Saccharomyces cerevisiae S288C: one gene and its partners. The gene in region 1 interacts genetically with each later gene. Each region holds a gene or a part of one and is shown in the gene's direction. Other genes may lie near its edges. The genes, in order: SEC59, CAX4, SRT1 and GPI18.

The links.
Region 2: of SEC59 (region 1) and CAX4, extra expression of one rescues a mutant of the other (dosage rescue), as found in Saccharomyces cerevisiae (one study listed by BioGRID).
Region 3: of SEC59 (region 1) and SRT1, extra expression of one rescues a mutant of the other (dosage rescue), as found in Saccharomyces cerevisiae (2 studies listed by BioGRID).
Region 4: mutations in SEC59 (region 1) and GPI18 together harm fitness more than expected from each alone (negative genetic interaction), as found in Saccharomyces cerevisiae (2 studies listed by BioGRID).

What each region holds. Positions count from the first base shown.
Region 1 is NC_001145.3:290,791-299,172, reverse strand, and holds SEC59 (dolichol kinase), read left to right. Parts: upstream 1-2,434; coding exon 2,435-3,994; downstream 3,995-8,382. Other genes in the region: BUD22 (Bud22p), read right to left, coding at 1-305; translation initiation factor 3 subunit CLU1, read right to left, coding at 4,206-8,039. UniProt on the Saccharomyces cerevisiae protein: Catalyzes CTP-mediated phosphorylation of dolichol, the terminal step in de novo dolichyl monophosphate (Dol-P) biosynthesis. Dol-P is a lipid carrier essential for the synthesis of N-linked and O-linked oligosaccharides and for GPI anchors.
Region 2 is NC_001139.9:556,130-563,820, reverse strand, and holds CAX4 (dolichyldiphosphatase), read left to right. Parts: upstream 1-4,952; coding exon 4,953-5,672; downstream 5,673-7,691. Other genes in the region: sphingolipid homeostasis protein ORM1, read right to left, coding at 2,471-3,139; long-chain fatty acid transporter ACB1, read left to right, coding at 3,827-4,090; YGR035W-A (uncharacterized protein), read right to left, coding at 6,035-6,256; YGR035C (uncharacterized protein), read left to right, coding at 6,399-6,749; 60S ribosomal protein uL24 RPL26B, read right to left, coding at 7,149-7,513. UniProt on the Saccharomyces cerevisiae protein: Non-essential protein which is required for efficient N-glycosylation. Necessary for maintaining optimal levels of dolichol-linked oligosaccharides. Hydrolyzes dolichyl pyrophosphate at a very high rate and dolichyl monophosphate at a much lower rate.
Region 3 is NC_001145.3:465,512-473,691, reverse strand, and holds SRT1 (ditrans,polycis-polyprenyl diphosphate synthase), read left to right. Parts: upstream 1-4,215; coding exon 4,216-5,247; downstream 5,248-8,180. Other genes in the region: putative protein kinase YPK2, read left to right, coding at 1-272; YMR103C (uncharacterized protein), read left to right, coding at 428-790; LAF1 (Laf1p), read left to right, coding at 1,340-3,844; MYND-type zinc finger protein MUB1, read right to left, coding at 5,530-7,392. UniProt on the Saccharomyces cerevisiae protein: With NUS1, forms the dehydrodolichyl diphosphate synthase (DDS) complex, an essential component of the dolichol monophosphate (Dol-P) biosynthetic machinery.
Region 4 is NC_001134.8:239,124-247,335, reverse strand, and holds GPI18 (GPI-anchor transamidase GPI18), read left to right. Parts: upstream 1-1,668; coding exon 1,669-2,970; downstream 2,971-8,212. Other genes in the region: UGA2 (succinate-semialdehyde dehydrogenase (NAD(P)(+))), read right to left, coding at 1-326; RCR1 (Rcr1p), read right to left, coding at 789-1,430; COQ1 (trans-hexaprenyltranstransferase), read right to left, coding at 3,106-4,527; RER2 (ditrans,polycis-polyprenyl diphosphate synthase), read left to right, coding at 4,768-5,628; alpha,alpha-trehalase NTH2, read left to right, coding at 6,053-8,212. UniProt on the Saccharomyces cerevisiae protein: Mannosyltransferase involved in glycosylphosphatidylinositol-anchor biosynthesis. Responsible for the transfer of the second mannose to the glycosylphosphatidylinositol during GPI precursor assembly.

The sequences.
Region 1 (8,382 bases):
GAATTTTTTTTGGATATTTTCTGAATTTGTTCTTTTATACATTTTGATAAATGCGTCTCGTAATAGTGAATCTTATTATTGAGTAACTTTGAGTAACTTTCATCTAGTTCTTTGTCCAAAGTTTTCAACTCTAAAGAGTTTAACAGTTTTTCAATTTTCTTTTTGTTCTTTTTACCTATACAATTGTATAATTTGGCAGTTTTTGGATATCTTGGTTCAAACTTCTGTAATGATTTTGTCAAATAATGGTACTGATACTCCAACTGATCAAGCTTGTAGATAGAGACGGATGATTCGGAAGGCATGTTTCCTTTGGGTTATCCGTACACTTGACCTCTTTATACGTATATACTGGTTAAATTGCTTAAAGTAGTCATTCATACACTAAATGCACACAGTGATGAGGTAGATGAGATGAAAATTTTTGCCATATGGGCCATGTAATGTCTGGGTGTTGCTTTAATCGATCACTAACAGATGAAAAAGGTAGAATGGATAAAATACTTAAAGAATTTTATATGGCTTGTGATCAGACTGACGTGCAAATCATTTGATGAGACGTTTTCTTCATTGATGTTCTCAAGAAAATATATAGCTCAAGAAGTTGTCATCACATCACAATTAGTTATAATTAACGCAAGAGAAAATTTACTCAAGTTAATATATTTGAACTCAAATATATTGAAGAGATTAGAGTCGTCCAAATAGTCAGCATTACAATGGTTCGCTTGACCCAATTTCTAAATTTGCTAAAAATATTAAAGCTCAGTACCACGCCCTGTCACAGGCGAAATATCATCAAAGTTAATCGATAAACATTCGAAAAACGCAGTTGACCGTCGTGAAATGTGGAAATCATCATAAACAATTTTTGAAATTGGAGAAAAGTTAAAAACCTTGAAACAGTTTGTACGATCTCTCATCTCTCTCAGATAAATTTTCTAGTTTAAATTGCATCAGACACTAATTGCTCTTTTCAATCATGAAGATCAGACATATGCTTGTCTATTTGAGTAATTTGTTTCATCTTCTGCAGCATTGACGTCTCTAAGGTAGAAATTTTCTTTAAAAAACATGGAAGCAATACAGACACATCAACTGATGAACTAGTTATCTGTCGATTTTTTTCTATTTCCAAATTCTTTGCTAATCGAAAAGAATAATGTAAACAGCTTCAGAAAGGCATGAATGGTAATTTTAATAGTTGTGTCTTCACGAATGATCAGACTCGTCATCTATAAATATCTCATCATAAAAACCAATTCACATAATTATACGAAAATGAGAAAAAAATCCATTCTTCCCTATAGAAAATTCTGTTAGCCCTCAGAAAAACTTACAATGGATCAGTTGCGCGGGTTTTCTAGGCCCGCTAAAGCATTGTCACTCATTTGAAAGGATATTTGTTTCCCCCTCAGTGCCCAGTGCTGTGGATCCTCATTTCCATTGTATCAAATAGATCGAAAACATCAATCTACGGAAGAATAGCACTAAAAAACTACTGTTTTCTAAGCTTAAATGTATTCTTCCAATTTATGGAAATGTGTCAACTTTCTAGTATTTATTTTAAAGGTGTTTGCTAGGTCAGGATAGTGCAAAAACGTATCAACATATACTCGTTCAGCCAGTAATTCCAGCTTTTGTTTTTGTTATAATCATCATATGAACAAACACCTTTGAATAAATATGGAATAAAAAGAAAATTGAAATGGGTGTGGTAAATGAAAGGAGAGCAGAGAAATTGAAGAAATACTACTGTATTTCTATTTAGACTTTTCCTTTCAGTTTTTTCTTCTTTATTGCTAATTAAAAACCTCAGAAATAAGAATAAACGTTCTAATCACAAAAGATTCAGAAACTCTAGTTTGTAAAAATTTATTTTGGTCATCAAGGGAATAATTAGCCTGTGATAATGACAAAAGACATATCTGAAAAACTAACTTTGATAAAGAAGAAAAAAAGAACACGGAAAAAAACGTTTTATGGATTCAATTTCTCTCTCAGCCTTTCATAGCTCCCACTCATCTGAATATTTCTTTTGTATTGATCTTTGTGATGGAAATCATAGGATTCTAATATTGTAACTTATTAAAGAGAGGAAGCATTAATTGCCAATAACCATTTCTGCGTCTCTTATTTATACCCGAAGTAATCCTAGAAGAAAAAAAAATTTTCAGAAATGAAAAAAGTTCTAGATGTATGGGTGTGCGGGTAATGCTAAGATACGTTATTGAGGGCTGTCCGCAATGGTTGGGTTTTCAGGCACGTAATTTTCAAAAGAGTTGTACACGTTGTTAGTCAAGATGGTGAAAATGGTATCGAAGGACGTATTCTATGAAAGATAGAGTTTGTAGTAAGCCAAATATTAGAATTTAGCTAGTAAATCAGACTCCTTTCGAGGCAATAAACTGTCGTTATTCTGTTCATTGCCTATATGGTCGCTATAATACCTCATGCTTCCTTTACCACAATTAAACTAACCCAGAAAACTGAGGGAAGCCAAATGCCAACTGAGGAGATCTGCAAAATCAATATGAGGACTCGTAAATTTGATGTGGGCGGGAATTCTCGAGATTTTGAGTGCTTTTATTCGAATTTTGTTCAAACTGTTATATTGTTGGGCACTTTTTTTTACTGTGTTGAAAGGCTTCAGCCGTGGTCCATTGTTACCGCTGATATATCTTATAAACAAATCTTTGTAAATGTCTTTGTGGTGTGTTTGATAATGGTTGGTCTGATATTCACAAAATATTGGCAACATGGTTACAAAAGCCTACCCAAGTTCGATACCATTTACAGTTTATATTTACCGTTTATGGTTTCGTTGTTGTTCGATACATCATCTACGGTGATAAATACTATTTTGATCCTTTCGGTATTAAATTCATATAGATGGCGAACTCAGTTGGTAGTGATCATTTTACAGCTCTGCCTCATATTTTTTAATTTTGAGGCTGGTGACAGGTTAAAGAATATTATTAGCATAGTAATAAATTCTTTACTGTCGTTAATTTTGAAGTATATTGGGCAATTGAAAAGTTTAGATAATATCGACTCTAATCTTTTTAGTATCCTATTAACCAATATTCTGTACGTTTCAGAGGCTGGCACAGTACATTTTAGAATTTTGAAGGGCATTATCCTTGCTCTCACAACAATAATTTCAATTAACTATGTGCTCAAAAAGGTAATGCACTTTAAACCGTTTATGCTGTCAATATCCTTTGCCATCGGGCTTCCACTTTTTGCCAATACCTTCATTCATTTAGAAGACGGTGAAAATCCGCTACTTTGGCTGGTAAAATATATCTTAGAGTCTACTATTCGTCAAAAGATTTTGTTTGCTTGGTCTTCAATTCTTATACTGTCCATACCAAGTATATTGATCGAGAAGGACAGTCTATCGTTGAACACCTCCCGAAAATTGTGGCATTTCATCATTTTCTTACTCATAATACCGTCATTCCAAATGGATTCAAACTTTGTGAAAATTGCATTGTCCGGAACAATACCAGTCTTCTTATCAATTGAGTACATAAGATTTCAAAACCTACCGCCGTTAGGATCTGCTATTGAATTACAACTAAGAAGGTTTGCTGATGATAGGGACCACAGCGGGCCATTGATCATATCATACCTTTATTTACTCTTCGGAATATCAACACCTTTATTAATGAATAACTCTCCAATGGGTCTAATAGGATTGGGAATTGGTGATTCCTTAGCATCTATTATTGGTAAAAGGTATGGCCGCATTCGTTGGAAAGGTACACAAAAAACTTTAGAGGGAACTCTTGCGTTTATAGTAACGAGTTTTATCGTTTGTTTGGTATTGTTACGTTTTGATAAAGCTGCAATTTTTAACCACCTAACTACTTTACAATTGCTTACCCTTTGTACACTGAGTGGAGTGCTAGAAGGTAATAGTGTGCTTAATGACAATATTTTGATACCTGCATTTATGATGATTTGTGAAAAATTAATTACTCTTTGACAAAGTCAATTATTTTCAACTTTTAAAATTACATAACTAATTGTTTGCATTTATGAATAGAATAAAGAAAAGAATAGAGCAGTAAAGAAAAAAAAATAATTGTAAGTATTTTTTTTTCGTTTTATATCTAGTACTTACACGTAGTATATACAAGTATGGGCTATAGATATAAAGAAAAATAATAAATAAACGAGATTGTTAAGTTAGCTCTCTATTTCTTACCATGCTTCTTTTTATTGTTGGTTTTGTTTTTGCTCTTAGAGTTGGAAGAATCGCCTTCTATAAATGTTAACAACTCATCCACACTTTTGTTAGCCAATTCAGGTTTAACGTCATCCTTCTTTTGACGGTGATTGGTTTTTTTATGGCCAGCTGAATTTGATCCCGTTGTCGACATTTGATCTTGTGCAAGTTGCTTCTTTTGTTTTAAATCCATTATTAATGAGCTTAAACCATTAACCCACTGTCTTGATTGGGCTGAGTGCGTGTGATTCATACCCAATTGCTTGGTGAAAATCCCTTGGGTTACAGTGATGTGCTCTAATGCACGGTGGAAATCCTTCAATGCTGCAAACAAATTACCTAAACGTGACTCGGTATAGCCATATGCTAATGAATCTTTGCCTTCTAATTCCACAACATAGGAGCTTAGTTGTCCCAAGACTTCAATAGCCAATTTGGTATCTTGAACACCTAGGGCTAATTGTTCCAAATGGTTGAAAATGCTTGTGGGGGCTGGGTGATGGATTTTTGGTAACTCATAAACTTTTAGGATTTCTGCGAGCCTATTATAAACCACAGTAGCGTTATAAGGACTTTCATTAGAGAATTCTAGAATTGCTAAATTAGTTAAAGCCCTCATCATTTCAAAAGAATCAATACCGCTAACTCTTTCATAAATAGTACATGCTTTACGACAGAACGCGATAGCTTCAGGGTATAATGCTAACTTATTATAAATGGCAGATAATGACAAGTACTTTTCAGCAACGGCGGGATGTAAAATATTGTTAACATCTTCTAAGACTGTAATTGATTGAGCGAGTAAAGTCAAAGCACTTTGTTTGTCTTCGTTGATCATAGAAGCACCTTGAGCCCAAAATTCCTCACTAACTGAAGAAGTATATTCTGAGAACTTAACACGTGGAATAATGGTCAAATCGCTTAAACTGAAGGTAGTTGGTGGTTCGACAAACTTGTTCCTAATTTTCTTGTCAAGACTTTGCTTATAACTTTCCAATTGTTCTCTAGTAAAGAAGTATTCTTTATTGAGCAATTGAATACCAAATTTGTAAGAAACACTTCTAATGAGGGTGAAAGGATTTTCCATGTAAGCTTCGATCCAATTGGATGGTAATTGATGACGGAAACGCAAGAAGGCTTGTTTAGAGACAGCTTCCAGCAATTCGGAGCGTGTTAATTTAGCAAATGAGCACTTATTGACTGGATAAAATTCGTCGACTGGTTCTGGCTTCGGATCAGCATTGTAGTTGATACCAACTAACATATTGAAAACGTATGCTACCAGTGATGGAACCAAGAAGACCGGAACATCTTTACTCAAATCTTTTAAAACATGTTTCAAAGAACGCGAAACAATTTCTAATTCGGAAATTTTAATTAATGGCACTAGCTCATCATAGGCAACGACCACAGGTTTTCCATCGGTGGGCTTTTTGATTTCTTCATCGTTTAATTTCAAATCTTCAGTTAGTTCTTTTGGAACCTCTTTGCCTTCTTGTACCAGCTTATTAATCTTGGCTTGTCTCTCTTTAATCATGTTCTCAATTTTTTGCAGATAAGATTTTTCCCAATCCTCATATTCTTTGTTGTCTTGTTCAACAGCTTTCAAATTTTGTTCGTAGTGGACAATTTGGGAGTCCAATTCCTTTTGAGAAAGCTCGATAATTTTACCCAAGTAACGCATGTTGATACCATTCTTATGTAAAGTATCGGCTAAATGTTCACCATTATAAGGAGTGCTCAAATTTCCAGATAAATAATCTTGAATAACGCTGGGAATAACTTCTTTTTGTAAGTAGTTCGACATTTCGTCAACATTAGCGTCCTCAATACCTTCGACCTGGTAAGCATCAGGGTTATAACTAAACAAATTTTCTTCATAGGCCTTTTCAAATTCAACACCTTCCTTCTCAACTTTATTATTCCACCACTTTTCTACTAACTCCGGACGTAACAAAGTTTGCCTGTGTGGGTAACGGTTTCCAGTCTCTTCGATGTTGTCAAAGTTTTGTCTAGCAAAGTTGATGTCCAAGGGATACGTGTTGGCTAAATCCAAAATATAGCGCCTCTTATCGAATCCAACTATTCCCTTGGATTGCGATGAAAATGCTAATTCAGTACCGTTGACTTTGTGCTTTTTCAAATGGAATGCCTTGACAAACTTTTTTTCTAAAACAGAATCAAAGTCAGCATCATAAACAATCTTTCCCAAACCTTCATCAAGGCCGTACTTTACATTAATATCATTGACAAAATCTTCGGTAACCTCTTCGCCGGTATTAGCATCTTTTACAATTTTGTTACCCATGGTAGCTAAGAGTCCAGGTACTGGAGTTTGAGCCAAAATTCTTCTGCCTGCAAATTCGACTACAGTTGTTAAAAGATAACGAACTTCGTGCATATGCAAGCGATTCAAAATATTGATTGTCTTCAAGTCTTGGTTGGAAGCAGCGATTGCAGCTTCATCCCCACCTTTCCCTTCATAATTGCCACTAACGTCGGAAACATAGGAATAAAAGATATTGTCTTTTAAGAAAATTTGATCCCGAGTTGGAGATTCTGGGTTCATTGCAACGAAATCACTGTAAAAAATTGACATAGCGCCTGATGCTGCAGTAACAGAAAATTCATGTACAACTTTAGAAAACAACCTTTCCATTTCAATACGATCTTGTAATGTTGACGTAGTCAAATCTTTAATGGCTTGAAATTCATCATTAAAGTTTCTTTCTGGCGTGGTATCCAAGGCGGCAGTTTGTAACCTCAGATAATCTGGGTTATTTGGTGGCAATGAAGAAACAAACCATGGTTTATGCAAGAAAGTATTGCTTGGTCTTACATAGCTTGTAGAATCTAAAGCAGATAGTTTTTTCTCGAATGCTTGGACATGAGAAATGAATTTTTTAGAGCGAGAAGCAATCAAGTCAAATAGACTGTAATAGATCAGGGATGAGTGCGCGTTCTCGTCAGTGTTTTCTTTTGGAGAAGGATCGAACTTAGTTGAGTTTGATTTATTGACATAGAATCCAGATGGAATTGCAGTGATATAGAAACTCTCACCTTCCAAAGTGACAATTTGTAGGTAAAATAGATGACCTTTACTTCTATAAAATGGAGGTACAGGATTGTAAGGTGCGAAACTCAAAGACCTGACGCACGGCGTGATGATGTTGGATTCAGAGGTGAGAAGTTTGTTAATTGAAGAATTCTTAAAGCTAGAAAACACTTCGTGAACCATCTCGTTAAATTTTAGTTTTTCCTCGTCAGTCACATCTTTGAAAGTATTTTTCTTTTCTTCTGGATCGCTCTTCTCGTCTTTTTCTTCTTGTTTTGAGCGTTCCTTGATAGGACCCAACGGTAACGAGGAAAAGCTTGAACCAGTAGAAATAGCAAATTCAGATAATCCATCTGAGGTTTCTTGGGCAAATCCGATGAAATCGCGAACAGTAATCACATGTTTCAAAGCCTCTCTTGCGCTATATGGCTTCAGTATCAATTGAAGTTTTAACTCGCTTTTCTCACCAACAATTTCCTTTATAGACATTTCATCAGATAGCTGGGAGTCACCTTCAATTGTTTTCAGCCCAACGTTTGTCAGGTACTTGGAACTTGGAATCATAGCCAACACATCTAGAACAGTTTGAATTTTGGATTCCTTGCCGATTTCAAAAGATATATCATTATTTTTTGAACTTTGGGTCTTTTTGAGATGTTTCGTATTATGCGAATGGTTATCTTCTTTTGGAAGTTTGACAGTCACCTTAACGGTGGCGTTTTTAACTTCTTCTTTTTTCTCGCTCATAGAGATTAAAGATATGCAGTCTCAGATAAACTGTAACACTACGCTGATTTGATTCGTTCTGTAAACAAATTACAGCTCAATTACTACTCTGTGTTTAGTGAACCTTATATCCAATCTTCACTGCAGACAATTTCCTTTTTTGAGAATACTTCGAAGCGTATAATTTCCAAGAAATGGTATCCGTTTTATTGGCCATGTTTGACCGGAAAAAACCTTGGTCGACGTGAAGAAAAAAATTTTCAAATTTCTTCAAAAAGAAAACTCCGCTACGGGGAGTCGAACCCCGGTCTCCACGGTGAAAGCGTGATGTGATAGCCGTTACACTATATCGGATTATATTTCA
Region 2 (7,691 bases), on another chromosome or scaffold:
TTGCAGCTGTAAAAGCAGTAAAATCAATCAAACCAATACGGACAACCTTAAGATACGATGAGGCAATCACCTATAATAAAGATATTAAAGAAAAGGAAAAATATATCGAAGCATACCACAAAGAAGTCAACCAACTATTGAAAATGAATACTTGGGACACTGACAAATATTATGACAGAAAAGAAATAGACCCTAAAAGAGTAATAAATTCAATGTTTATCTTCAACAGGAAACGTGACGGTACTCATAAAGCTAGATTTGTTGCAAGAGGTGATATTCAGCATCCTGACACTTACGACTCAGGCATGCAATCCAATACCGTACATCACTATGCATTAATGACATCCCTGTCACTTGCATTAGACAATAACTACTATATTACACAATTAGACATATCTTCGGCATATTTGTATGCAGACATCAAAGAAGAATTATACATAAGACCTCCACCACATTTAGGAATGAATGATAAGTTGATACGTTTGAAGAAATCACTTTATGGATTGAAACAAAGTGGAGCGAACTGGTACGAAACTATCAAATCATACCTGATAAAACAGTGTGGTATGGAAGAAGTTCGTGGATGGTCATGCGTATTTAAGAATAGTCAAGTAACAATTTGCTTATTCGTTGATGATATGATATTGTTCAGCAAAGACTTAAATGCAAATAAGAAAATCATAACAACACTCAAGAAACAATACGATACAAAGATAATAAATCTGGGTGAAAGTGATAACGAAATTCAGTACGACATACTTGGCTTAGAAATCAAATATCAAAGAGGTAAATACATGAAATTAGGTATGGAAAACTCATTAACTGAGAAAATACCCAAATTAAACGTACCTTTGAATCCAAAAGGAAGAAAACTTAGCGCTCCAGGTCAACCAGGTCTTTATATAGACCAGGATGAACTAGAAATAGATGAAGATGAATACAAAGAGAAGGTACATGAAATGCAAAAGTTGATTGGTCTAGCTTCATATGTTGGATATAAATTTAGATTTGACTTACTATACTACATCAACACACTTGCTCAACATATACTATTCCCCTCTAGGCAAGTTTTAGACATGACATATGAGTTAATACAATTCATGTGGGACACTAGAGATAAACAACTGATATGGCACAAAAACAAACCTACCGAGCCAGATAATAAACTAGTCGCAATAAGCGATGCTTCATATGGTAACCAACCATATTACAAGTCACAAATTGGTAACATTTTCCTACTCAACGGAAAAGTGATTGGAGGAAAGTCGACAAAGGCTTCGTTAACATGCACTTCAACTACAGAAGCAGAAATACACGCAGTCAGTGAAGCTATTCCGCTATTGAATAACCTCAGTCACCTTGTGCAAGAACTTAACAAGAAACCAATTATTAAAGGCTTACTTACTGATAGTAGATCAACGATCAGTATAATTAAGTCTACAAATGAAGAGAAATTTAGAAACAGATTTTTTGGCACAAAGGCAATGAGACTTAGAGATGAAGTATCAGGTAATAATCTATACGTATACTACATCGAGACCAAGAAGAACATTGCTGATGTGATGACAAAACCTCTTCCGATAAAAACATTTAAACTATTAACTAACAAATGGATTCATTAGATCTATTACATTATGGGTGGTATGTTGGAATAGAAATCAACTATCATCTACTAACTAGTATTTACATTACTAGTATATTATCATATACGGTGTTAGAAGATGACGCAAATGATGAGAAATAGTCATCTAAATTAGTGGAAGCTGAAACGCAAGGATTGATAATGTAATAGGATCAATGAATATTAACATATAAAACGATGATAATAATATTTATAGAATTGTGTAGAATTGCAGATTCCCTTTTATGGATTCCTAAATCCTCGAGGAGAACTTCTAGTATATTCTGTATACCTAATATTATAGCCTTTATCAACAATGGAATCCCAACAATTATCTAATTACCCACATATATCTCACCTTCAGCATCTTTTTCCCCATTTTTTTACTTGTAGTATAGATTGTTGTTTACGTGCACGATTAGCTTCTTCAAACCAGGAAACAGCAATGTATACATTGGCAACTTGGCCGAGTGGTTAAGGCGAAAGATTAGAAATCTTTTGGGCTTTGCCCGCGCAGGTTCGAGTCCTGCAGTTGTCGTTATTTTTGAGTTTTCCGATGTCTATTTTGTGATAATAGTATTAGAAGCAGTACGTGAAATAGTGCTAATACTATCTGTTATTCTTTTTGAATAGAATATGATTATATGAATTAAATACAATTTCAACAAATAGGTTTAGAAGGTGCATTAATATGGAATTTTTTCAATTTTTGTTCACATTCTTTTTCATTTACATAAATGAAGTCCGAAATCCGTTGTTGGCTTTTGAAATTTCAAAGCGTTAGTGATTTGGCCCAGAAAATATAAATATAGCAAAAACATCTAGATACAAGATTGAAATAAACTATGTTCAACTAATTTGGGCGCGACCTGTGATACCTGGGATAGAAATCCTTAATCTATGAGTAACAGGTAACTTTGGGACAACAGCACCAAAGGTTGTCAAAAAACAATTCCATGAAAACAATTTCAAATCATAGTGAGCATAATGAGTACTAACTAAGAATAGGGCGATCGGGACACTAATCAAAAATTTTCTTGAAGGAGTATATAAAGTCTCGTCGTCAATTTGTTCCCACATCGTCAAGTTGTCATAAGCACCACCATTGAAATCGAAAGGGGTACCCTTAATCAGATGGAACATGACATAGGACCCAATAACATATGTCATATTAGTCAGAGTCCACGACCATTCTGTGGTAACACCAGGAAATAAATTATAAAATAGTTTCAGCAGTATGATAATGACCACATGAATAATCCAAGCGCCGCGTTGGTCTACCCAAGTAGCATTCATATTTGGTAGAAGTTGCTGGTCATTTTCATCTTCAAAAGTCTCCGGTTCCACATGTGAAATTATGCTGGAAGAACGCCTTCTTCTATGATCTTTCACAGGTTCCGTCGTTTTAATTGATGAAGATGCACTGCCTGCAGAAGGAAACGGCTTAAGGTCCGTTTGATTTCGACTATACGAGGTAGAAGCCGCCTCAGCAGTTCCTTGATAATCTAATTCGGTCATTAACTAAATGGATAAAAATGCAATGAAATACAAAATAAGAATAACTCTGCTTTTTAGAGAATATGTGGTAAACAACAAAAGGTAGTTAGGGAAATTCAAAAAGGGAATATCAAGCAAAGGAAGATGTTATCGATCAGTGAATTTTTCTTGTTTCGTGAATCCACTGAAATATCTGCATCTGAAGGCGAGATCTCATGATAGTTTTCTAAGGTCTTAAAGTGAAAACATAGGCATTTCACTATACCCGATAGTTGTCGGGTAACGGCTTTGAGTCTACGATGGTTTATATACCGCAGCTCCGTTAGCAAAGGAATAGAGGAAACTCGAAACAGGTAGTCTAGCAATTTGTGTAGGGACTAAACATATTTCGACTATTCTCTATAATCCGTTCCTAAACTACATGCCACAAACTCTCGTATTGAAACATTCCATTAAAAAATGACCGTCGGAAGAGATTACGGCCTTGGTGCCTGAAGACAGGTGGCGCTGGCGGCCCTACGCGCTCTCTGACACGTCCGCAAACTCAACAGCTCCAGGCCAACTCCCCAATGACCGCCATATATATAGCTAGCTTGGATCAATTGGTCTGTCTCGGAAGCAAGTACGTTATGTACATCATTTCACTGTGTGAAGCAAAAGAAGGAAGACTAAAACTCTAAAATTAGTTAAACTAGTGTTTTCAGCAAAATGGTTTCCCAATTATTCGAAGAAAAAGCTAAAGCCGTCAACGAGCTACCAACGAAGCCCTCCACTGATGAATTATTAGAATTGTATGCTCTGTACAAGCAAGCCACTGTAGGTGACAACGACAAGGAAAAGCCTGGTATTTTCAACATGAAGGACCGCTACAAGTGGGAAGCCTGGGAAAACTTAAAAGGTAAATCCCAGGAAGATGCCGAAAAGGAATACATTGCCCTTGTTGATCAACTGATTGCCAAGTACTCCTCTTAGAAAAGGGGTATACTAGCTCCATGTAAGGAGTTTTGGCCTAGCTTTCCTTGTTACTATTCTATTATTATATTTTATTGGCTGCAAAAACGTGACTTATGTACATTTATAAATGCCCATATCCCTTACTACTCTCCCTGGGGACAAGGCGTAATAACTGTTAATAAATGCATATACTCTGTTCTATTTAAATTCTCGGGGTTCGCTGGAATATTGAATCACAATTAGGGAGATTCGCATGTAATTTACGCCGAGAATGATACTGATTTGTGTTGAATATGACAAGGTTTAGCGGAAACACGCTCTTGAAATTTTTAAAGATATTTTCATGATTTATATACAGACTGATCTGTATACATTTTTATATTGTCATACATAGGCTTTAATAACTACTCAGTTTTTTTTGATGGCGGCAGAAGCAGCGCTTTCATTGCTCTACACAAATCCGCAATTCAAGTGACAGACGCCAAACTAGTGGTACAGTACACTTACTGAAGCGCACCATGTATACCCTGATCTACATCTAGAGCTTGTTCAGTTTTTCTTTATGCTTTTAATTACGCCAGGAAGAAAACCGTTCTTACGTGGTGGATGAAATAGGAGAATTCGGGTTTCTGGGAAAACTTAAAATTTCTTGTTGGAAAAGTAGAAAGAAAAAGAAAAGTTTGCCTTCTGAGAAAATGCTACATATGGTAGAGACATCAATCGATTGCTCAACACGCGTTAAAAAGGGGAAAGTGATTGCCACTGTGATCACTTTAAATCATTTCTTCGTTCTCATTCTTTTCGTCTAATTTTCTTCTCTACCACTCATTATACCAGGCATTTTATCTACATCAAAATTTGTTTTGAATCGGATCATATCATGAATAGTACCGCCGCTGCAATAAATCCAAATCCAAATGTTATACCATTCGATGACACATACATTCTCTATGATTCGCATGACTTTCTATCATTCCTTAGTGCATATTTCTCGCTGATGCCCATCCTAGTGCTAGCTTTTTATTTGTCGTGGTTTATCATCACAAGAGAGTTAGAAGCCTGCATTGTAGCCTTTGGCCAATTGATGAACGAAATATTCAATAACGTGATCAAGAATATAATAAAACAGCCACGCCCCGTATCGTTCGGTGCGTCGTTCCAAAATGACACTATAAGATCCGGTTACGGGATGCCCAGTGCACACTCCCAATTCATGGGGTTTTGTTTTACCTATAACTCTCTGAAGATATACACTTCCTGGAAGAATCTAAACTTCTTAGAAAAATGCATTTTTTCTGGTGCATTGGCTTTATTATCGTTTTGCGTTTGCTTTTCCAGAGTTTACTTGCACTACCACAATTTAGATCAAGTAATCGTGGGATTCAGCGTGGGGGCACTGACTGGATCACTTTATTTTTTTATAGTTGGCATCATAAGAGAGCTTGGTTTAATCAATTGGTTTTTAAAACTACGTATTGTCAGATTATTTTACATGACAGATTCTTACAATCTGGCGCCTTTGACATTGAAAGAGAATTACGAGGCGTATTGGAAAAGAATAAATCAGCGATCTTTCAATGATAAATCCAAAAGGGATTAGGTTGAACATTTCATTTTTCTTATTTTTTCATCTATTTTAGCGAGGCGATCTTGAGCGTTTGTGTAACTGGATAAAACTTGGCAAGCTGGAGTAGTCCTTATTTCTCATAAAGAAAGCCGAAAGCCTGCTCTCCTACAGTTATTAATTAAGAACGCTCGTTTTAAACAGTTACTGTGTAAAGCGACGGTAATCGAAAAAGTATGTGACATCGTGCAAAAGAAGATAATCAAAACCATGCAGAACGTAGAATAAATGTGAGTTCTATCACTTGCGGAGATAATACCCTCTGACGCCGCGGGGCCGATTGTTCCACGGAGGGAAAGAATCGGCCCTCGGGTTTTACGAGAGCGCCGCGGGTGAACTCACTTTTTTCTCGAGAAGAAGTTTCCTACGGCAGAATAAGACCCTTTTCCACGGATAATCAGCGGAGCTTCTGGACATAATAGATGGTTTGTGAAAAAGCTTAAGGAAAGCCGCGGATTTAGCATGTCACCCACACTTAGATTACGAAAGCAAGGATTGCAGAAAAAAAGATGAGATACAGTTTTGAGGGCAATATATAAAATATATAAATATAGCAACATTCCCTTCTCTCTGTTATGTCCACAATACTTCTAAAAGTTGTAACATATATCTATACATAAAAACTTGTAACAAACATATAATTAAAACAACTAGTGACAAGACGGAAGTTATAAGTTATCTTCTCTACAGAAACAATACGTAATGTTACTCACACCAGCCAAGACTACAAGAACGGAAGACTCAGCAAACTCAACAGATGACAGCAGTAAAAGCAGTAATTCATTCATGCGTGCCATAGTTTCTTCCCTTATGGTTAAGCCCATAACATCTCTGACTAATACAGTCACATGCAGACAAAGTTCCCATCACAATAGCTCTCCAAGTAAAATCACAAGATATGATTTAATCAAAGCTGCTGCTGAAAATGACTTGAAAAGGAGTAAGTCTCAGGGACGAGAAAAATCCAGAAGAAACTCTAATCGTAGAAATAATGAAGAAATTTTTGTGGCCAATACTGCTTCAGAAATCCAACGGACTAAAAGTAGCATATAGCAACCCTGAGGTCAATGTGCTTAACTACTTCTTTGCATCTTCATTGTCTCTAAAAAGATTCATATCCTCATATCCATTCGCATCTTACTCATCTTCATAATCACCCTATGTACATATATATATTGTCATAAATATACTAATAATTAACAATCACATTTTAATATTGGAAGTTTTCTCATTTTCTTGCATTGAATTCATGCATCTGCCGCTCAGCTAGAAACAAGCGCATTCGTCTACCAACCAGCCCTTGAGACCCGAAGGCAGAATGTGAGAAATTACAATTTTATTTTTAAAGAAACTAAACTAAACTAAATTGAAATTGATAAAAAATATACATAAAAGAAACACAGGATTTATTTATTGTATTTTTTGTATGATCTATGTTAAAGTCGAGCTAGTTTATTCCAATTTACCACCCTTTCTTTGGATCAAAGCCTTTCTGTCCTTGTCCAAGTGTAACTTAGTGATAACAAGCTTGGATGGGTGCAAGTTAATTGGAACGGAAGCACCGTTGACCTTTTCCTTGGTGACCTTGTCAACTTGAACAGCAAACTTCAATCTGTAAACAGATGAAATCTTACCTTCTTGACCCTTCTTGGAACCACGAACAACCAAGACTTCATCGTCTCTTCTGATTGGCAAAGCCTTGATACCATATTGAGCTCTCAATTCCTTGGATAATGGAGCAGATAACAAAACACGACGTTCAGAGGATGGAGCAGTGAAATAAGCCTTTCTGGCCTTTCTTCTGTCAGAGGAAACGTCTATTGAAAACAAATAATAAAAAAATTTGTTAGTAAAAGCAAAACTTTTTTTTCACAATGAGCACATAATTTTCATCCACACTTAAATCTATGTTGCCCCACATCCAACGGAGTATGCATTTCACAAATCAATATAAACGGTAACTTCCTACTTTTCTTCTATCTCCTCTGCGTACTC
Region 3 (8,180 bases), 170 kb from region 1:
ACGGTACAGATGAAATTCGTAACCATCCTTTCTTTAAAGACATCTCATGGAAAAAGCTACTTTTGAAGGGCTATATTCCGCCTTACAAGCCAATTGTAAAGAGTGAAATAGATACTGCAAATTTTGATCAAGAGTTCACTAAGGAAAAACCGATCGATAGTGTAGTGGACGAGTACTTAAGTGCAAGTATTCAAAAGCAGTTTGGTGGGTGGACGTACATTGGTGACGAACAGTTGGGTGATTCTCCTTCGCAGGGGAGAAGCATTAGTTAGAAGCAAGCCGAAGCAAGCCGAGCCGAGCCGGACGGAATTTATAGCTATAGCCGCAAGAGGTTGCAATTTTCAAAAATGGATAGTTCAAGTAGATTGCGATACGCACTCCGTTACTATTGTGGTTAACGGGGACAAGAAGAACTACAGAAAATAGAATGGTCCGCAGAGGCTGCGCTCTTCTTTTAGCAACTCTCACACGACTTATGTTGCTTATTCATTTCTTTTACAGCATTATCAGAATTCTTCCATCTACGGAATTGAGATCAAAGACCGACCTGTTGTCGGCCGAAGGACGGACGCTTATACCCGCGGATGTCAAAGCGAAGCCCGCGGGGCGCAAGTCGAGGTTACCGGAATTCGCCAAACGGCAAAGGACCCTTGCATTGCCTGAAAGGAAAGATTCGCTTTTCTGTTTGTTGCCACTTTTCTTACATAGTCTGGGCCGGGAGCAGCTTATTTCTTCCGCGGATGATCCTGGATTTCCTTGCGCGGGCTCAGCCATGGGGAGCCTTACCTAGTCCCGTAAAGGGAAAAAGCTAACCTCATTCGCCTCACAGGGTGAAAGCGTGAACAAAAAAAAAAGAAAAGCTTAATGATTAAAATTTACAGTATATATATATTTGTATTTACGTATTAAACTATATATAAATAGATATGTATGCCGAAAAAGTAAAGTCTGGGTGATGCCTAGTCCAATCTTTCTTACTACTGTCCAGTTTCTATCGTAGCAGTTAATTATACATAGAACTGTGTAAATTCAACGCATTAATTTTTTTTTTTTTCACTTTCGCAGTTAGGGGGGACACATTTTTTTTGCCCTTTCTTAAGCTTCGTAAGCGAGTTACATCATTATTTCTTCCTGGGATACAATACGCGTTCGTACAAGTCACAGCTGGACCGTATAGGGAACAAGACTGCAACTCTCTCCAACTTGTTAAACAGAGGAGGAAAAGAAAGAGGGAAAAGAGGAACAAAGACAATCAAAGAAAAAGAATAGAAAGCAGTTGCTGAGCTCTTGGCATATTGTATACGGTAGTGGCGTATAATATAGTACGAGAATTAGAAATATGACGAATATGGCGGAGGATAAAACAAGTATAAGCAAGGTACATTCTGAATTCAGCAATTCCTCGAATACCACTGGATCTGAAGAGGAGAGTCGGTCGCATCAAGAGAGCTTCGACGGCGAGTCCAGTTCCGGTGAAAGTAAAAGTAAAAGCAAACTAAATCTTGAATATTCTGCAGATATCGAGCCATTGAAGTTCAGAATGACAAAAACTAATAATACAAATGACAAATTAAAATATAGTAACAACGGCAACGCCACTGATTCATTTATGAGACTAAAGGAACATTTACAGAGAGGCAATACTTTAAATTCGAATCTTAGGGTCAATGAGTTTTACCCTTTCAATTCCATTGATACAGAGCAATTTGAAAACTATTTGAGAGAGCCAAAATACATTAAAATGTTGAAACGTCGGAAAAACCTGAAACAATTTAGAAGATTGTTTCTCGCGCAAGAACTAATGGCCTACGAAGGTGAAACGGTTACCTCCACTTCCAAATCATCTGAACCAACCTCTAAAGCTATATGGAGTACAAAGTTTAGCCGCGATGGAAAATTTATGGCCACTGGTAGCAAAGATGGTAAAATAAGAATATGGAAAGTTATTGGCTCTCCAGTTGAAAGAGCCGAATTGGACTCGAGTGCGGAATCAAATAAAGAGGCACGAGCCAAGTCGATGCGGATCAAACAGCAGGTCAGTTCATTGAACAATCCAAAAGAAAAACAATTTTTGGATTCTGCTACAGAGAAATACGAAGAGAAGGAAAAATTATTGAATTTGTATGCGCCTGTCTTTCACCCAACGCCTTTGCGACTGTATAAAGAACACGTGCAAGATGTTCTGGATATAAATTGGTCTAAAAATAATTTTATTTTGTCAGCATCGATGGATAAGACAGTAAAACTATGGCATCCCGATAGGAAAAATTCACTTAAGACATTCATACATCCTGATTTTGTCACTTGTGTGGAATTTCACCCCACCGACGATAGATTTTTCATTAGCGGCTGTCTGGATCACAAATGCAGGTTATGGTCTATACTGGATGATGAAGTTAGCTTTGAGTACGATTGTCAAGACTTAATAACATCTGTTACATTATCCCCTGAGGAGGGAAAATACACTATAATAGGAACATTTAATGGATACGTTCATATTCTGATGACCAGAGGTCTCACTCCAGTTTCTTCATTTCACGTAGCTGATAGACAAACACAAGAACAAAACGCTCACGTCATGGTCACGGAAACTGACTCAAAAATTCGTCATGGTCCACGTGTGACGGGTTTGCAAGCTTTTAGATCTCAACTGGACAATTCTTTCCGCTTAGTAGTTACATCGAATGATTCGAGGATAAGAATTTTTGACTTAGAACAGAGGAAGCTTCTAGAGGTATTGAAAGGCTTCCATAGCGGATCTTCCCAACACAAGGCACAATTGTCCATCTGGCATGGTCAGCCAATCGTTGTAAATAGTAGTGATGACCATTGGGTTTACGGCTGGAGGTTAAAGTCTTCGGATAGAGAGAATGATCAAGACGAACCTAAAAGGAAACCAAAGGGATTGGCTCGGTCCGGAAGTTTGAGAAGCATATTTAGTAAATCAATGAGTAGGTCTTCCAGCCAGAATAACGAAGAAAAACCACATCATCATTTAAAACTTACTAACTTACTTCCCTTGCCTCATCATAGCAACGATCATTATATCAAAAATACGGATTACATTTCTTTTCATGCACACAATGCCCCTGTTACTTGTGTTAGCATTGCACCGCCAGAAACTTCGAAAACATTATCTTTGTCTAACGATGTTATCTGCGAGCTATCTCTAGAGTTTTTTCAGACATCCGATAGTTTCGATGTTTTGAGTCGGAGTAACGACGATGGCATAATGTCAGATGTAGAGTCGTCTTTGGGCTACAATTCTAAACCAGGCTCAATTTCTAATGCTTCCGCCACCAGTGCTATCCCAGATGTCGTTGACGCAATTGGAACGATATTGATCAGTACTGATAACGTAGGGACTATTCGTGTGTTTAGAGCAGATATGCCCTCTGTTATAAGAAAGCGCGTGTTACTCAAACTAGAAGAATACAATAGAGAGGTTCGGAGAAGGTTTAACAGTTCTGATTCTTTGCATTCTTTGAGTCGAAGCTTCAACTCGAGAGCGAAATCAAACTTGGCTGGCCAACCGGCAGCGGCGTATACTAATACTGGAAAAGGCTATGCAACGGGACGTGGATACTCTAATATATGTCCCAAAAGCAGTACATCACTAAAAACACTCGGCAGTAATGCACAGCCAAGAACACCAAGGGAAAGCATGTCATCTATTTTCTCCAATGCACATGGGCCTACCACTCCAACGAGCGCAATGAATTTACCTATCCGTTGCAATGTTTGTAACGGTTCAAGGTTTGAGGCTTTTTCTGGTGCTAATGACCAACAAGATAGAAACTATTATTGCGTAGACTGCGGTACAGTAGTTAATAACTTCCGCTAACGCTGATGGAGTATTTTTTTTCCGTGGATGATACCTTTAAATGCATATTAATCTTCGTACATAAAGTAAAGAAACACGATACACTTAAATAAATTTTAATCTAATAATTAATGAACGCTAACAATGAGCCTATCATTTGTTGCCGATATACTATAACGTATCTCTTCGAAAGAACAAAACGGAGTGAGTGCCTGTTAAGGGTAACTACTCCAAACTGAGTGGACCTCGGCGGCTAAAGCTATACTTTTTCTGTTATTTAAGGGACCTAAAAATACACACAGAGTAGATTAAGATTTGGTGCACTTTTCTCAATTTATCAACTTATAAAGAACAGGCTGCCTTTCAAACATAGGACGTTTCTGTTGACCATAATGAAAATGCCCAGTATTATTCAGATTCAGTTTGTAGCCCTAAAAAGGCTTTTGGTAGAAACCAAAGAACAGATGTGCTTCGCAGTGAAAAGTATATTTCAGAGAGTATTTGCGTGGGTTATGTCATTAAGCTTGTTTTCATGGTTTTATGTAAATCTTCAGAATATTTTGATAAAAGCATTAAGGGTAGGGCCAGTGCCTGAACATGTCTCCTTTATCATGGATGGTAACCGGAGATATGCCAAGTCAAGAAGGCTACCAGTAAAAAAAGGCCATGAAGCTGGTGGGTTAACGTTACTAACACTACTGTATATCTGCAAAAGATTGGGTGTAAAATGTGTTTCCGCCTATGCATTTTCTATTGAAAATTTTAATAGACCAAAAGAAGAAGTAGATACGCTAATGAATTTGTTTACGGTAAAGCTTGATGAATTCGCAAAAAGAGCCAAGGACTATAAGGATCCCTTATACGGATCTAAAATAAGAATAGTAGGTGATCAATCTTTACTATCTCCAGAAATGAGAAAAAAAATTAAAAAAGTGGAAGAAATCACACAGGATGGAGACGATTTCACTTTATTTATATGTTTTCCTTACACTTCAAGAAATGATATGTTACATACTATTCGTGATTCAGTTGAAGACCATTTGGAAAATAAATCACCAAGGATTAATATAAGAAAATTTACTAATAAAATGTACATGGGTTTCCATTCCAATAAATGTGAATTATTAATCAGAACAAGTGGGCATAGGAGGCTCTCAGACTATATGCTATGGCAAGTACATGAAAATGCCACCATTGAATTTAGTGATACGTTGTGGCCAAATTTTAGCTTCTTTGCTATGTACCTGATGATTCTCAAATGGTCCTTCTTTTCCACCATTCAAAAATATAATGAGAAGAATCACTCATTGTTTGAAAAAATACATGAAAGCGTTCCTTCAATATTTAAAAAAAAGAAAACAGCTATGTCTTTGTACAACTTTCCAAACCCCCCCATTTCAGTTTCGGTTACAGGAGATGAATAAGTAAAAGTGCAAAACTAGAAAGCCCAAGAGAGGGCAAAGAACATTCTGAAAACTCCCTGATTCTTCCATACCTATTACCATATTACATCATTTTTAATTAGTAGTCTTTTAATTATCTATTATATCCGGTATATAAAATATCCTTGCGCCAAGTGTATAGCTAATAAAATGTAAAAAAAAAAAAAATTAGGAACAAAAAATAAAAAAAGCGAAAACAAAAAACTCCGTTAATGAATATTTCATGATCTTGTTAAACCTAGGTCATCGAAATCCCCTTGTACTTTACTCAGGTATGCTATTTTCATCCCTATTGCTTATTTCATCAGGTACGGTGGTGGATATATTAGGAGTGAACGTACTGGTAGAATTCGAAACATCAGCTGCTGTAGTAGCGGTGGCATTTAAAGAACTAGGCTCATTTGGGGTATTGACACCTGTGGTAGTATTCGTGGATCTCATATGACTTGATCCAACTTCGTGACACCAATACCTATGATATCCCCATGCTTTTAATTGACACTTTCGTGAGCAATATTTCGTTCTTTTGCATCGACGACATTTTGCAAATTGTCTTGGAAAATCTTCCCATTTTCCGCACGAAAAATTGGCACACTGACGCACACCTAAGATCTCATTTTTTCGACATGAATTTCTCATGATGACAGAACTCCAATATATAACATCATGTGTATTTTCTGCGCTCACTGTATATTTTTCGACTAAGGGGAAGATGTTTACAACATTTGTTAGTACCTTGTTTTTGTAAACAATATTTGTTAATTCCTTTTTCATTTTATCGTAGCTCCAGCGCCTTTCAAAGTTATCAGATATTTTCTTCCTTAAATTAATTCTTTCCTTGTCTTTGCCATAGGCATTGTCGTCGCTAGGTTTCGGTACACGGTAGCGCTCAAACAAATTAAGAACGGGACAGTGGTTATTACATATTTCATTTTGTTCTTCTTGTTGACATCTGTTTGAGAGTTCTTCTAATTCTTTGAAAAATGGATCCATTTTGCTAGTATCTAGTGCCTTAACTTTGGAATTGTTTTCAGGATTTTTCGATAAATAAGGATATAATGAAGACAATTTTACAGTTACGTCTCTTTCTTGTTCTTCTAAGTCATTCTCTTCTGAGATTCTCTGTTTAATTTTGTAAGCCATACTTCTGAACGATAGGGATTCAACCAGCTCAACATTTTGAAGGGTTGATTTCATATATGTATACTTCGAAACAAAAGCTAATAACTGAAGCGACCATATAACGTCGTCTTGTTTGGGGACAATTCTTCCGAGAAAAAATTCACGTGGAGTGGAAATTGTAGGTCTATTAATGTCTGGTTGCGAAAAGAAATTCTTATGTGCATCAAAATTTTCACTTTCTACTTCACTATCAATATCAATGTCGTCGTCGTGTCTTTCCTGGTCAGGTTCAAAATTGCTAGCTAGGTCTGCAAACCGGCCCCATATATCACTAAAATCAGTTGGAATTGTCATAGACGGTGCCACTAATCGTTCGTTTAGAAAATTTTTGTCAGTTGACAACTTCAATTTATCCTGACCTGTAATGAACTCTATATACTGCTGATATGTTTCATTCTCATCTTTTCTCATGAATTTATACATTGTCTCCGTGGTTATCCCTTTGAAGTCAAAGGTCATTGTTTGATCTTTGATGAAGTCGTAATTTTTATGATATAGTAAATAGTTATCCAATACTGTGACCAGCACAGATAAGACCCCAGACATTACCACTTTTTTACGAATTTGTTCTGTCCCTCTAGTACCTGTCAATACTAAGCACTGAAATGTTAAAGTCCATTTCCAAGCGCATAGTGCTAGTCTTTTCTCCTTCCATAGATCCTTTATGTTTTCGTGCTCATTAAAATTTTCTAAATCCAAATCCAGCAACTCAAACAAACTTAAATGACAACTCCTCAATATTGAGACTAATCTTTCGAGAGCACCGTCGTTAGCTACCGTTTCCCTAACTTTTGATGAATTAGAGGTTAGATATGTTAAGTAGTTTAGGGAGTTTATTAACGGAATACTAGAGTTGATATCCAATGCCCTTCGGTCATAGACAGTAGATGTTATTGTTACTATAGGCTTGTTCGACGTTAATGATCGATGATTAGAGTCTCTCATTTCTTTACCTTTTCTTTGTTTTGAATATTTCAAATTACGTTCTATACGCTGTTATGATATGTTAATATAGCAAAAACAAACAAAAACTCCCAGGGAAATGAATTGAAAAATGCAACAAATAGGGACCTCACCTTTGTATAATGGAAGATTCCCAAGTTTCACTTATAGTTGATCAATGGGTATGATGAAATTAGCAAAGTAAAAAAGGGAATGTTTAATGGTTCAACTTAGATAAATGGAAGGTTGAATATGAGAACCAACAAAAATAAAAAATAAATAAAGTCTCAAATTATCTATATCGCTCTAATGAGGAAGTCACTGTGCACACTTACAGAAACTATATAAAAAACGGATATTTTTCTCTTCAGGTAGGGAAGTTTGTCCAGCACTTTCTTCCTTGTGAGCTGCTCTAGGTCTTTCGTTTGTATAGGCCGACCATCAATAACCCAACTCTCAAATTTTGCCACTGAACACCCATACAATACATAACCAAAGTATTCTAGTTGTTATCCTAGCTCGATGCATTGTTGTAGTAGGCCTAATAAGAAGATAGTTCAACCAAGAAAAATAGTCAAAAGGCTTTTTGCCGTTTGAACCATCATAAACTTATGGAAGCCATCTAAATAATTTTCCTTTTTCCTGGTTCCTTTCTATGTATCCAAAGATATATATTAAGTAGCCCACTTCTAGCCAACTTCTAGCCCACTTCTTAGGTAGTAACTATACGCAGCTGCTCCAGGAGGGAAAGAAAAAACCAACGGTCTATATTGTAATAACTATTAGTTTTC
Region 4 (8,212 bases), on another chromosome or scaffold:
AGAGCTTTACCATTTTCTAAAGTAATGATGGTTGCCAGATCATCCAAATTTTCAAGCATTAAGTTATACATGTTTCTGAGCCACTTTGCCCTCTCTCTTGGTGTTGTATTCTTGTACGTCTTGAAAGTTTCATAGGCAACATCAATCGCTTCCTCAACCACGGAGACTGGTTGTTCGGGAACTCTTGCTATGATTTCGCCGGAAGCAGGGTCTACCACCTCAAAAACTTCGTCAGTGCCCTTAACCCATTTTCCGTCAATATAACCAGATTCTCTGAATAAATTAGGGTCGTTTAGAGTTGGTTTAGAATACTTACTCAAAGTCATGTTGAAATAGTAGTTTGTAAAATTTGCTTTTAATGTAGCTGGTTTTCTAGCTTAATTGATCAAATAAGAACAGAACAATAAAGGACGTTGCGAAATAATATCTATTGATCTCTGACGAGTATTTATACCCTATTTCCTCTCCATTACTGATGGTGATGTGATGTGATGTGGTGCTATCTTGTCACCCTTAATCCATTGGCCGCCTTTGCTAATCCCGCGCGCATTTTCCCTTTATCACCACCACGCCGTGCGATGGACTTGAAGTATTTACTATTGATAAAATAATACTGAGAGATTAAAGACAATGTACTGAATATAAACTATAGCACTTCAACGACCGCGGGCCTGAAGCGGATTAGGAATTAAAATAATTATTATAGAGATTGGGTAAAAAAATGTAAATATTTCTGGCAAAATATTGTAACTCAACTGTAAGAGGACAGCCGGAAAAAAAGATTCAGTTCATGACCTTGCATTTACCTTTGCCCTCTCCGGTGGGTTAATTTCCTGCGTTGTAGTCCCGCCCGGAAGCCTTTCCAATTGCTCCACCGTATCACTTACAGCTGGAACGCGCCCATTGCTAGGCCTTGTTAAACCGTAATCCGTATCTAAAGAGTTAGCTTGGTGAACTACAGCAGCGGGAGGTCTTTCTAAAGAATTAACAGATTCTGATGAACATTCTTGTACCAATGGCGGGGGGGCCACGTATGCAGCCTTATCGTTGGGGTGAAACTCGCCCCGCTGGTCATAGTATCCAAGATCATGTTCGTTCGCTGTTTCTGTATACTCAGGAACATAATCATCTGTCCGTTGCTGAACGGTCCCAGTATATTGTTGCTGAGACTGTCTGTATGAAGGCGGTGTCAACCATGCCGTACCTCTAATGGGAGCACGCCCCATCCTTCGTCTCCTTCTGTTCGCTACAAAAGTGAACAGTATTATAAGGATTACTGCGGCAACAAACAGCACAAACAAAATCCATATTCCTGACTGCCATGACGACGATGATGGCCCATAGTAACTAGTCACAAATTTGCTAACGTGATGGTTATCTGCCTTTTTCACCTCGTTTATCGCCTCATTTTCGTATGAAATAAGTCCCATTCCTTATTCTTAATTCGAGTTATACTTTCCTATTTATTGGAATGATCAATAAGCTATTACAGGTGCCTTTTCTGCATGAGCTTCCTGTCGGTCATTTAAATACTTAAAATAGAAAATCCCTTTTAAATCAAACTTTTTTTTTCAAGGCTTAGTTGAAAAAAAAAGTAAGCCTCATCATCGAAAAAAGACATAAAAGAGAGGCTTCGAGAGAGGAGGCGGAATAAGACTAAATTAAAATATGATTGTGGGGTTGACACTTTATTTTGTATTATTCCGTTCAATACAGTATTTACTGGTTTTTTTGACTCCAATTAGGCAGTTTGATACATCAACATCACTTTTATTAAACGAATTATGTTCTTCTCCCTCTGAAATCAACAGTTATTGGAACAAGTATTTTTGGAATAAGCTACTATCATGGGACAGTGTTTTTTTTATCAAGAACATAACTTCCAAAAACGGAAAACCTCAATTTGAGCATGAATACGCGTTTTCTCAGTTGTGGACTTTTTTCGTTAGGCTGTTTATTAAAAGTAATAACGATAGCATCTACCATGCCTTAAGGGTTGGAGTTGCAATAGAAAATGTTTTATTTTACTTGTCAGGTATTGTTTTATATTTTCTAACAAAAAAAATTTTCAGCCAAAATATAAGGCAATCACAGTTTGCTAGAACTATCGCTAAAAAAACATCTCTGTTGTTTTTCTTAACGAGTGCCGCTGGATTTTTAACAAGCATATATTCTGAACCATTATCTTTTTTTTTTGCATTTGTTGGTATTTGGAGTCGTGAATGCTCCATTTCCGTGCCCGTATTGGGTCAATTCGATATTTCGTGGAGATATTGGTTTCCTTACTCCTTTATCAGCATGGCTTGCTTTACCTTAGCATCCTTGAATCGTTCAAACTGTGTTTTGTTAGGGATTTACTTTATTTTTGACCTTATTGAACTAACAAAGAACAGGAAGTTTGTAAAAGCAATATGTTTCCCACTATTATCAGGATCATTAATGTTTTCTGCTCTACTATATCAACAATATTACCTACCATATAAGACATTTTGTCCTCAAAGGGGTGAATGGTGTAAATCTCAATTGTTTTCAAGCATTTTTATCACGAAAACTTCTTTATATTCCTACATTCAGAGTCATTATTGGGGAGTTGGGTTATTGAAATACTGGACCCCAAACAACATCCCAAACTTTTTGTTTGCTGTCCCAAATATTATTATTTTAATCTATTCCTCCATATATTTCAGCAAAATTTATCCCTCCTATAACTTGAAGGCTCTCGTATGGATCACCAGAGCACTGGTCGTCATAGTATGCTTTTTTGCCCATGTCCAAATTCTGAATCGTATAGCCTCCTTTTTACCCTTGCACCTTTGGTATTTGGCTGATAGATTGGTTAAAACTTCTGATCCAAAAAAAATGGAAAATCCGAAAGGTGACGATAAGATAGTCAAGTTTTACATATACTGGTTGGCATTCTGGATACCTTTACAGACTATCCTATTTGCAGCTTTTTTACCACCAGCCTGATCCTTAATGCTTGTATATTTCTTCTTTTACTAAAAACATATAAAAACTATTTACATATAGAATATAGAATAATGCGACACTATGACCTTCTTCATTTTCTCTTTATTCTTCACCCTTTATTTGAAATTTCAAGGTTTACTTTCTTCTTGTTAGTATACTATTAGTTAAAAACTCTAGGGCAGAACGAGCATCAGATTCAGGAAGAGAATCCCGTAGATTTTGTAATGCCTTGTCCCTATATTCCTCCGCTAGTATTTTCGTCTTCGCTATACCATTATGGAGTCTCACAGAATCAATAGTTTTTTCAACATCACCCCTCTCTGAAAAATTGCGTGAAATTAGTGGACCTAAAGATGGGTCTTCTTTCCATGCAAACAAGACTGGAGCAGTAGCAATACCTAATTTTAGATCCGCGCCGGATGGCTTCCCTAAATCTTTTCCAGACACAGTAAAATCAAGCATATCATCTACGAGTTGGAAACATATACCTAGATTTCTACCGAAATCATAGCATTCGTCGATAACGGCAGGTGATGCCCCAGATAATATAGCAGCACATCTGCAAGATTTTGATATCAAAGCAGCAGTCTTCAGATAGGTCTTGTGTATGTAGTATTCAAATGCAGTTTCTATAATCTGATCATGAGATAATTGCAGCCCCTGTTGGCGGCTTGGAACACGAAAGTCGTGCTCTTTAACTTCAAGCTTTTTAGAAGGAACCGGAAGTAGCTTATGGCCATTTTCGATGGTATCGATATCCGCGTCAATGGAAGTATTTTTCAGTTGCATGAACTCACCTTCGACAAGATTCGCAATACTATTAGACATTAGTTCTACGACTTCGGGGTTGTGTAATCTTGAAATTGACACTGTTGCTCTCCCTAAGAGAAAATCACCCGCCAAAACGGCCATCTTGTTGGTAAAGGCAGCATTTCCGCTTGGCCTTCCTCTTCTTGTATCAGAATGATCAATAACGTCATCATGAAGTAAAGACGCAGTGTGTATCATCTCTACAATCTCTGCTAATCTTCTCTGTTTGGGTAAAATCCCTCTTTGTTTGTCAAAAGTTTCTTCTGGCAAAGGCTCAGGACCTTTTGTCAAGGGATTTAGTGGTTTAATACCGTGAAGAATATGTAGTGGGGATATGCTACTTGCAGGACGTTGAAATAGTTGATTTTGACTAGGTTTAGAGTAAATTGGGTCCTCAGGAACATCCGACTTGTCAATTTTCAAGTGATTTCTTTCTGTCATGGGAATTTCAGAAAGTGCTCTTGACAACAACAACACTAACAAGGGACGTACTTTTTTGCCTTCTGTTTCAAAATAGTAACTAGTAACCTTGTTTAGCACCGGATGGCCAGACCCGATGAGGGCAACTATATTTTTGGCCAATGTGTTCATCTCCTTCGAGACTAATGATATGGGATTATTCCAAAGAATCTTGGGAGTTACCAACTTACTGGCAGCGTTTAAAGCAACTGCAAAGGAGGATTTAAAGCGGCATCTTCGAGATGAAATCAATTTGATGTGATGAGCAGCGCCAGACCTTTGAAACATCGTCCCACTGTACTCAATTCGGACTGAATGGCACACTTCTTGTGTTGTAGAAAATCTCTATAGATTATAATGTGTCTTACTTTAATCTTCTAATCCCCTAACCCTGTTACCCTCGCTCGGGCTTTTTCCGAAGATGCCAACAAAATGCTTAGAATGAAAAAAAAAAAAATTTTCGTAATAATGACAGGTTTCAATAGAACTTAAGCAGTAAAAATAGGGTAAACACAGGTAAAAGACGGTATGGAAACGGATAGTGGTATACCTGGTCATTCATTTGTGTTAAAGTGGACAAAAAACATCTTTTCGCGCACATTGCGTGCATCTAACTGTGTACCTAGACATGTTGGGTTCATCATGGATGGGAACAGGAGATTCGCTAGAAAGAAAGAGATGGACGTAAAGGAGGGCCACGAGGCAGGATTTGTTAGTATGAGTAGAATCTTAGAACTGTGTTATGAAGCAGGAGTCGATACGGCTACCGTGTTTGCCTTTTCAATTGAAAATTTCAAGAGGAGCTCACGGGAAGTTGAATCACTGATGACTTTAGCGCGCGAAAGGATACGACAAATCACAGAACGTGGAGAGCTGGCCTGTAAGTATGGGGTACGCATTAAAATTATCGGCGATCTCTCTTTGTTGGATAAGTCTCTATTAGAAGATGTTCGGGTTGCTGTGGAAACTACAAAGAACAACAAAAGGGCCACGTTAAATATCTGCTTTCCATATACAGGCAGGGAAGAAATCTTGCATGCCATGAAAGAAACAATTGTTCAACATAAGAAGGGCGCCGCTATAGACGAAAGCACGTTAGAATCGCATCTCTACACGGCGGGGGTACCCCCTTTAGATTTATTGATTAGGACAAGTGGCGTTTCCAGATTAAGTGACTTTTTGATATGGCAGGCATCGAGTAAGGGCGTACGCATCGAATTGCTGGATTGTTTATGGCCAGAGTTTGGACCTATACGGATGGCATGGATTTTATTAAAATTTTCGTTTCACAAATCCTTTTTAAACAAAGAGTACAGATTAGAGGAAGGTGATTATGACGAGGAAACCAATGGGGACCCCATCGATTTGAAAGAAAAAAAGTTGAATTAAGAAAGGTCTGCATTTTTTTCCTACCACATGGCATAGATATTTATAGAGTAATGAGCAAGATAAATGAGTTCGCAAAAGAACATTCAAATAATTAGTAATAAATGAGTAGAAATTCACGCATCTTTATAGAGTTTATAATGCAAATCTCCGCGCGGGGTAATTTGAAGTCCAATTTTTCCGAGCGGCGTGCCAGTTCCACTAAATTATATAAAGCGGATAGGAATTGTAATTACCTCCCAAAGTTAATATTCGACTAATGTATATTTCATATGTTATAGCGCTTGTAGGAACTGTTTTCCATTAAAACTAATATTCTTTATTTCTCAATTTTATTTATTTATTTATATTTTTCCTTTGCAAATATATTTGACGCAGGTTCGGATCAGACATTTGGTATATAAGGAGACCTGCATATACTCAAATAATGGTAGATTTTTTACCAAAAGTAACGGAAATAAATCCTCCATCCGAAGGTAATGATGGTGAAGATAACATAAAGCCACTTTCAAGTGGTTCAGAGCAGCGGCCGTTGAAAGAAGAGGGGCAACAAGGTGGTAGAAGACATCACCGGCGGTTGTCCTCTATGCATGAGTATTTTGACCCGTTTTCCAACGCAGAGGTCTATTATGGACCAATAACAGATCCAAGAAAACAGTCAAAAATTCATAGACTAAATAGAACCAGAACTATGAGTGTTTTCAATAAAGTTTCTGACTTCAAAAACGGAATGAAGGATTATACCCTGAAAAGGAGGGGTTCTGAAGACGACAGCTTCCTCAGCAGCCAAGGTAACCGTAGATTTTATATTGATAATGTGGATCTCGCTTTAGATGAGCTGCTCGCTAGTGAGGACACAGACAAGAATCACCAAATTACCATAGAAGACACTGGGCCCAAAGTTATTAAAGTCGGGACGGCCAATTCCAACGGTTTCAAACATGTAAATGTTAGGGGAACATATATGCTTTCTAACTTGTTGCAGGAACTAACCATTGCAAAAAGTTTCGGACGACACCAAATATTTTTGGATGAGGCGCGTATAAATGAAAACCCTGTTGATAGATTATCAAGATTGATAACGACTCAATTTTGGACGAGTTTAACGAGAAGAGTTGATCTTTATAATATTGCAGAAATTGCTAGAGACTCAAAAATAGATACGCCAGGCGCTAAAAATCCAAGAATTTATGTTCCATATAACTGCCCAGAGCAGTACGAATTTTACATTCAGGCATCTCAAATGAACCCGTCCTTAAAACTTGAAGTGGAGTACTTACCAAAAGATATTACAGCAGAGTATGTTAAATCATTAAATGATACACCGGGTTTGTTAGCCCTGGCTATGGAAGAACACGTTAATCCATCTACTGGTGAAAGGTCCCTAGTTGGTTATCCTTATGCGGTACCTGGCGGTAGATTCAATGAATTGTATGGCTGGGATTCATATTTAATGGCACTGGGACTCATAGAAAGTAATAAGGTTGATGTTGCAAGAGGTATGGTGGAGCATTTTATATTCGAAATTGATCACTATAGTAAAATTTTGAATGCTAATAGGAGTTATTATCTTTGCAGATCTCAGCCACCATTCCTAACCGATATGGCTCTGCTCGTATTTGAAAAGATAGGAGGTAAGAATAATCCAAACGCTATTCAGTTGTTAAAACGCGCGTTCAGAGCTGCTATTAAAGAATATAAAGAGGTGTGGATGTCGAGCCCTAGGTTAGATTCTCTGACAGGGCTGTCTTGTTATCATTCTGATGGTATTGGTATCCCTCCGGAAACTGAACCAGATCATTTTGATACTATATTATTACCGTATGCTGAAAAGTACAATGTTACTCTGGAAAAGCTTAGGTACCTTTATAACGAAGGCATGATTAAAGAACCCAAACTGGATGCATTTTTTTTACATGATCGTGCCGTGAGAGAGTCAGGACATGACACGACTTATAGGTTTGAAGGTGTATGTGCATATTTAGCGACAATTGATCTAAACTCCTTGCTCTATAAATATGAGAAAGATATTGCTTTCGTCATTAAGGAGTATTTTGGTAATGAATATAAAGATGAGAATGATGGAACGGTAACCGATTCTGAACACTGGGAGGAGCTAGCTGAACTGAGGAAAACAAGGATTAATAAGTATATGTGGGACGAAGATTCAGGGTTTTTCTTCTATTATAACACGAAACTGAAATGCAGAACGTCTTATGAGTCTGCAACGACTTTTTGGAGTTTGTGGGCTGGTCTTGCAACTGAAGAGCAAGCAAAAATCACAGTAGAAAAAGCTCTTCCTCAGTTAGAAATGCTCGGCGGACTAGTTGCATGCACAGAAAAATCAAGAGGTCCTATTTCTATTGATAGACCGATCAGGCAATGGGATTATCCTTTTGGTTGGGCGCCGCACCAAATATTAGCCTGGAAAGGTTTATCTGCATATGGTTATCAACAAGTAGCTACAAGATTGGCTTATAGGTGGCTGTACATGATTACAAAATCATTTGTTGATTATAACGGAATGGTGGTAGAAAAATATGATGTGACAAGAGGGACTGATCCGCATCGCGTTGATGCGGAATAT